Danio rerio: one gene and its partner. Each later gene encodes a partner of the first gene's protein in a complex. Links are inferred from orthologs where the notes say so. Each region holds a gene or a part of one and is shown on either strand. Other genes may lie near its edges. The genes, in order: apooa and micos13.

What was found.
Region 2: apooa (region 1) and micos13 share a complex: the UniProt entries of both Homo sapiens proteins name them as parts of the mitochondrial contact site and cristae organizing system (MICOS) complex. The link is inferred for Danio rerio from reciprocal best matches to the Homo sapiens genes APOO and MICOS13.

The regions. Positions count from the first base shown.
Region 1 is NC_133180.1:4,980,776-4,984,611, forward strand, and holds part of apooa (apolipoprotein O, a), read right to left. Parts: intron 2,227-3,836; exon of another isoform or gene 2,200-2,226; coding exon 2,095-2,199; exon of another isoform or gene 2,088-2,094; intron 1-2,087. UniProt on the Homo sapiens protein: Component of the MICOS complex, a large protein complex of the mitochondrial inner membrane that plays crucial roles in the maintenance of crista junctions, inner membrane architecture, and formation of contact sites to the outer membrane.
Region 2 is NC_133197.1:19,398,615-19,402,550, reverse strand, and holds the start of micos13 (MICOS complex subunit MIC13), read left to right. Parts: upstream 1-1,273; 5' UTR 1,274-1,420; coding exon 1,421-1,449; intron 1,450-3,503; coding exon 3,504-3,660; intron 3,661-3,936. Other genes in the region: hsd11b1la (hydroxysteroid 11-beta-dehydrogenase 1-like protein precursor), read right to left, coding at 534-618. UniProt on the Homo sapiens protein: Component of the MICOS complex, a large protein complex of the mitochondrial inner membrane that plays crucial roles in the maintenance of crista junctions, inner membrane architecture, and formation of contact sites to the outer membrane.

The DNA of each region.
Region 1 (3,836 bases):
TCAACTGCTTTTCCGGGGCTGGGTTGCGGGGGCAGCAGTCTTGGAAGGAACCCCAGATATTTCCTCCGGGGGGAACCCGAGATGTTCCCAGGCCAGCCAAGAGACATAGTCCCTCCAGCATGTCCTGGGTCTCCCCCGAGGCCTCCTCCCGGTGGGACATGCCTGGAACACCTGCCTAGGTAGGCGTCCAGGAGGCATCTGAAACAGATGCATGAGCCACTTCAGCTGACTTCTCTCACTGTGGAGGAGCAGCGGCTCTAGTCTGAGCTCCTCCCAGGTGTCAAAGCTCCTCACCCTGTCCATAAGGGTGCCACCCTGCCACCCTGTGAAGGAAACTCATGTCGGCCGCTTGTATCCCAGATCTTGTCCTTTCAGTCATGACCCAAAGCTCATGACCATAGGTGAAAGTAGGAGAGTAGATCGACTGGGAAATCGAGAGCTTTGCCTTTCAGCTCAGCTCCTTCTTCACCCCAACGGGGCGGTACATCGACCGTGAAGTGCTTTGAAATGTTTTATTCTATGTTTGAGCTCAAGCACATCACACGAAAAGTGGTTCAAAGGGGACAGGGCATATCAGATACTAGAGAGCATTTGATTGGTCAGAAGATTTGATGGGAAACTGAGGTAAAAAAAAGATCCATTAATGCGGAAGTGGCAAACTGCAAGCTTTACATGTTTATATCATAGGGGTGTAACGATACACTCAGCTCACGATACGATGTGTATCACGATATAATGTTCATGATTCAATATGTATCACGATATTTGGAATAAAAATTTAAAATTAAACTGAAATGCAAATTTTACCAAGTAAACTATTTTTTATGTATTTCTTTTGTTTCAACTTGTTAAACTGAACCTTCTTTACGAAAATAAATTAAACAGGCCTGTCCCTGGAAAATAAAACAATTAAAAAACTTCTTAAAATATTATTGAACATTACTAGCCATTATTGAACTTATTAGCCACATTTCCAGGTATTTAATTCATATTTAATTAAATTCATTTAGAAATATCTCTAATTACAATTGTGACTAGTCAAAACTCATTTAGAGATATCTGCAAATATTTTTCAATGGAAGTCAATGGAGGAATATGACTAGTCATAATATTTTTGCAGATATCTTCAATCTGATATCGTACTAGTACAATTGTAATTGCAGATATCTCTAATTGTCATTCTGACTAGTCGAATTATAATTATGTCTAGTCAAAATATAATTAGAGATATCTCAAAATATATTTATGGATAGTCACAACAAAGGTTTAAATGCTAAAACGGCTTGCCATACGTGCGCGTCTATCAAAGTCCGCCCTCTGTAGTAACAGCTCACGTCATGTGTGATTTTGCGGCGGGAACATTATTTGAAGACAGAATGATATTTTAGGGTGAATTGTACCTTATAAATACAGTATGTGACTCTTTCAACACCATTAGGAGGTATCTCTGTCACTGTGCAAAGTATGTAAATCACTGTGAAGACTTTAAAACTTAGGATGTTTGACCCAGTATGCGTGTCAAAAAGCGGACGAGTCTAAAGCAATGACTGGACAACCGAAATGTTGCCAGACGTCTGATTTTGAGAGGATGGGCCATCCTCTATTTCAGCTTCACTCATCTTGGTCTGCTAACATTACTGCTGCTGCAATCTGAACTCACGTGCGACAGCAGGTGGAACGTAGCTCACATGCAAACAGCTCAACTAATAAGAGAAAACGGACGTCATATCGTAATCAAATCGTCATAACGCCACGATGCATATTGAGACATTTTTGCATCGCAATAAATCGTACAACGATAAATCGTTACACCCCTATTATATCAGCTTTACATCTTCTAAATGTGTATCTTGTCACTGTTTTGTAGCATACTAGCTAATAGATATCCTTAAAACTAACAGACTTAACCTAAAATCTTAAAAAACTTTCACAGGACCATTAAGGGTACAAAAGTACACCCTAAAAGTGCTAATGTTCACCTGTAGCGTGCAAAAGTGTACCTTCTGAAAAGGTTTCACCCCCTGACAGATTTGTCCCCTTATTTCTGACTGTGTACTCATGTTAGTTTCTTCACAGCTGATTTTCAGGCTTTACCTCCTCTACACTGAGTGTTGTTTTGGGCTTGTCATCAGCGGACGCCGCCAGCACTGAGGCTGAAAACAATCCCAGAGTTCCAGAGGCTCCAGCGACTCCTCCAGCCTATCAGAAGAGAGCACCAACAAACCGGTCAGACAGAAAAATAACCTCTTTATCAGAGTCTGTGCTCACTGTCAACATGGCTTTCCTAGTCAATACCATATAGACACACACATTTACACACTATAAGGACAGCACGAAATATTAATGACACACTAATATACTAACATACAACTTTTTAAGGTAAGTGGTTGCAAACAATTCAGCCCATATAGATTGTTTGCAACCTTAAACAAACTTAATAAATCCAATGAATCATTTTTTCAGAGTAAACGTGAACGCACACCAATGTAATTGTTTACACCTTCAAACTGTTACCATCTGGTCAATGATATTGTGTCCCCAGATGTGTAAGGAAAAGGTGGAAATTATAACTGATCCCTGAAGCATTTACACTTTTAATTCTTCCTCTTAATGGTCAGTGGACTGGATGTTTATTTCGATTAGTGGTGCCTTAGTTTGAAAATTGATCTATTTATATAAATGCCTATTATGAAATATTCAAATGTCTCTGTCGGTGTATGCTGCAAATCAAATATCCCAATGGGGAGAAATTAAGTAGATTAAACTAAAAGTTGCTGGGTTCCACAAAATAAAATAGATTTGTGTTGGGCCAACAAGAAGGAATTAAGTTTGAGCACTAAGGTAAAACATCCCCCTTAAAAATTTAGCTGTTTTGGCTCATTTTAAATAAGTGGTTTGAAAATAACAAACAGCAAATTTAATTATTGTGTAGCTAATAATTGTTATTATTTATCACTAACTTACTCAACACCTTTCTGATTTGAAGAGTAATGTAATAATGTGGACTTGTAAATCTGCATTGGAATTATAATGAATGTGAAAAGCGCTGTACAAATAAATAGACTTGAATTGCATACTCAAACTACTCATGCTGCCATTTTGAGGACCTTCAAGGCCCACTGAGTTTAACTGCGAACATTACAAAGGCAGGAGAAACTGGAGGTCAGATGATGTTCATGTGGGGGACAAGGGTTGAACGCTGTTACGTAACGCTGTTTACATCCCATATCTGCTGTCCTTTACATACAGATGAGGCACAACATTGTTAGGCAATGGTGCGTCCAGATTAAAGCCTCTATTGTTTTTGTTAATTGATGTTCTGCTAAAATTAAATATTAATATTAGATTAAATGTTGTCATGGCATATTTGTTTTTAAATTTAATAAAAAATATTAATGAAAGTTTTTAAAATTATTTGATGAAATTATTAAAAATAAAACACTAAATACAAAAGTAATAATAATAATAATAATATTAATAATGAAAGTAAAAAAAAAAGAAATTTAAAAAATAAAAAGTAAAAACAAAAGTAATGATGATGATAATAATAATAATGAAACTTTTAACAAATTTATGAAATTATTAAAAATAAAAAGTAAATGCAAAAGTAATAATAATAATAATAATATTAATAATAAAAGTAAAAAAATATGAAATTTAAAAAATAAAAAGTAAAAACAAAAGTAATGATGATGATAATAATAACAATAATAATAATAATGAAACTTTTACAAATTTATAAAATTATTAAAAATAAAAAGTAAATGCAAAAGTAATGATAATAATAATAATAATAATAATAATAATGAAATAAAAAAATATATTGTGTGAAATTA
Region 2 (3,936 bases), on another chromosome or scaffold:
TGTTTTATAGACCTGTCGCCTGGGGTTTGAGGATCGAATTAAAATAATTTTAAGAGAAAAAAAGTACTTTAAGAAATAATGTGAACACGTAATGTTAACACGTAGATAAATACATTTATTACACTCTCAGAAATAAAGGTATGCATGCTGTCACTGGGGTGGTACCTTTTCAAAAGGTACAGATTCTAACTTAAAGGCTCCATATTGGTACCTAAAAAGATTATATTATATTAGGAACACTTTTGTACTTTTTAGTAATGTGTACCCTTAAGGTATTAATATATACATTTAAGCACAAATTTGTACCTTTTGAAAAGGTACCACCCCAGTGACAGCCTTTGGAGGCCTACCTTCTGAGAGTGTAGATAGGCTATATTAGTTTTTTGGGTCCACAAATCTTTCCACAAGCTTTCCCACCACTTTGTAGCATAGACTACTTTCTAAATAGCTGTAAAGACATATCACTTATCAATTTACAGACAATAGAATACATTTTACAGCACGTAGATAAACATAAAGGCTGTTAAACTCACCCTCATTAAATGATGGAGCACTCCATCGGACCGCAATGAACGCGACGCATATGCTGCAAAGCAGTAATTTGGCATAAAGCTTCATTTGAAGGAATATGGCAAATCTGTGCACAGCTTACAAAATGCACAACTTTGTAAAGTCAGCAGTCGACACCAAGAGAACAGGCAGAACAGGTTTTTAAATCTAAGTTCAGACAGGCGGAGCTAGTGCCAAAGTACAATCCGGCTTTAGATAACTTGGCAGCTAGCACTTAATGCATTTTGTAACTTCTGTTAATATTGTGTTGTAATAATCAGTCATTCTTGTTTTATTTGCATTATAACGTTAATATTGTGGTTGGGTTTATAAATTCGGAACGACCTGACAGACTATGAAATACAAACCGAAAGTAAGGATAAAAACATAATTATTATTCACTTAGGCTTACTTTTTACTTTTTTAAACTTACTTTTATTATCGTTGGCGACTCTGCTAAAGATTCTTTTTTAATTAATATTACACATACAATCTAAAAAAACGTGATTTTAAAATTAGTCAATCGATCTGAGCCACAGGAAAAACGTGGCGGCACTTTCACCAAATATATAAAACCGAATTGTCTTTTAAAGTAACACCCTTCTACTTTTAATGCTTATATATATAGAATATTCATATGTTCAAAAATACTCAAACATATAATTATTACGTTTTATATGTTCGTCGTTCGTTTTGTCGAATGTGCAGATCTACAGCTGGATTCAAAACGAACTTTATTGCTACCATTTCGGTTTGCTAGAGCAAATGCCCTTGTCGGTGAAACTCGCTGACAAAATAGTAAAACAAAGCATCCTGTGAAGTGTTTTGATACGAAATATTGTTCTTTAGAGCATAATTTTGCTTTTAAAATATGGCTGCTAAGATTTTCCCTGTCGTCAAGTAAGTGTTTATGTGTTGTTTTTGTATCTGAAGCTGGTTGCTAACTAAGTTAGCACACAAGTGTCTGTTTGGGTTTAAGTGTTTTTTTTATACTTTATACATTATTATACTTTATATAATTATATTATATATATATATCTGTATTTACATTAAAATTAAATTACCTCGTATTTTAGTTGCTATTTTTACCTATAATGTCGTTTAAATATAGCTAGCATGCTAATTACTCAATTCAGCAATAACTTTGACAGTAAAAATGTTAAATCCTGTTTTGTATTAGAGTTAATCATATATATTTTAAGTAATCATCATATATTTGGGGTCATAATAACCTGAGAAGCTTGTAAACATGCTCTCTTTCCTTCAGCTTTAACGTACTTTGAATGGCTGTATTTGTGATGAAGGTAAAGTTGTTTCCAGTCAAATAAATAGTGCTAATGTTGTTTTCGAGTCATACTTGCATATGATTTCAGACAGAACCTTCAAAATAATAGAGGTAAAGTTGGTTTTATATTTAGACATTCTCCTCGATAATATAATTATCTTTGCAAATTTTAAATGGGGAAATCATACTAGCAGAATTAGGATATCTTGCGTCCAAAAAAAAAAAAAAAAGTTAAGAAAACGGCCGTTTTTCGGTGTTTCTTTTGATTACAAAAAAACATGATTTTAATAATAACTTTTAATCATTTTATATATATATATATATATATATATATATATATATATATATATATATATGTATATGTATGTGTGTGTGTGTATATAAATAATAACTATACTATTTATATAATTACAAAGTTTACATATTCTGTCATTTGATCAGTTATGAGGCTTACATTCATTGCGTATGCATAAATTAAATAAAAACGTAAATTAGCAGTATTATTAGACTTTTGTCAATAAAATAAGGTCATAGTTCGCTGCCAAACATTGTTGCTGTGCACGCTGTCAAGCTGTGCACCTGATGCTGAGCAAAGATAGCCATTTCCGAGTAGCACCTGGTTTGCATGATTGTTTCCGAGCAAGGCCTTGACAGTAATAATAATAATAATGTTATTATTAATAATAATTTATGTTTATAGTTCACTGCCAAACTTATTGCTGCTGTACACCTGATGCTGAGCAAAGATATACATCTGTGAGCAGCACCTGGTTTCCATGATTGTTTCAGAGCTACTGTAGGCTTAAATAATATAATTATTATTGTTATTATTAATAATAATCATTTTAGCACGTGATGCCCACAGAGAGCACTATGCCAAATTAAGTTCTGTTTAACCTATTTCTGCTTAAATTGTAGAAAATCTTTAAAACGACATGACTAATCAAGACTTTTATTTGGAGAATTACACTTATTAATAACTTGGTTCTTATAAACGATCATTTTATAAAATACATTATTTACAGATCTACTGAAGAATAAGACGAATGACATCAATAACTATAATATATTAAGATTTTATATAAACTATAAATAAGAACATTTAAAGTAATAGAACATTATCTGTAAAACAAATCTAAACTGTTATATAGGCTACAGGCTAAATAAAGGCACCTTGTCAGAGATTTACATCGTGTGCGTTAAAGAGGCAATGAATGTAAGCCTGATAACTGATCAAATGACAGAATATGTAAACTTAGTTTATATAATTATATACATATAACTAAATATTAATAATTCAAAGCCTGGGTATTGTCCTCAGAGGGCTCTTATTTTGGGGGCTACGTCACAAGCTCAGATTTGGTTGACCAATCAGAGGAAAATGGACATTTTAGCACCGCCTACATGAGAATAATGAATTTTAATTGTTTTTTTTTTTTTTTAGTTAAAAAATGGATATGGATTTAATTTAGCAGCCAATGATTATCAAAGTACAGCATTGTTTACAGTAAATTTGATGGTGCTAATGTTGTTTTGAAGTCATACTTCCATGCTAATTCTGACCTAATATTCAAATTAGCATGGAAAGCAATAGAAACAGTTAAATAAAGGAATGTGCAAATATAAAACCAACTTTACCTCATTGTATTTGTGTTTCTTTATGTTTTAGGTTTGCAACAAAAGTGACCATTGCGGGAGGAGCCCTGTATGTGGCATATGATTCAGGACTTCTTGGAGGTAGTAATGAGGGATCTGTGGCCTTGGCCCGAGCTAAATCAGCCATACCACCTGCTGTGGATGAGTGGATGAAGTACTTTGGCTTCGAGGTATGAAAAGAAATGAAACTAAGTGTATGATTGATAACGAAAGTAGAACTTGACTTTTTGATGAAGTGTAAGGCTACAGTATATGGCAGATGGCAGCACTGACATTATTGAATAAAAAGAGAGATAGCGGGGAAGTCTTTTGGGTAATTAAATAGTCTTGATGCACAGAAGACTGTTTACATATGGTATTAAAATGCATCGCAACACCTTCACACAAAACTCACGATTTCAGATTTTAAAAAAAGAGCATTTCATAAACTAAGGATGAAACATTTA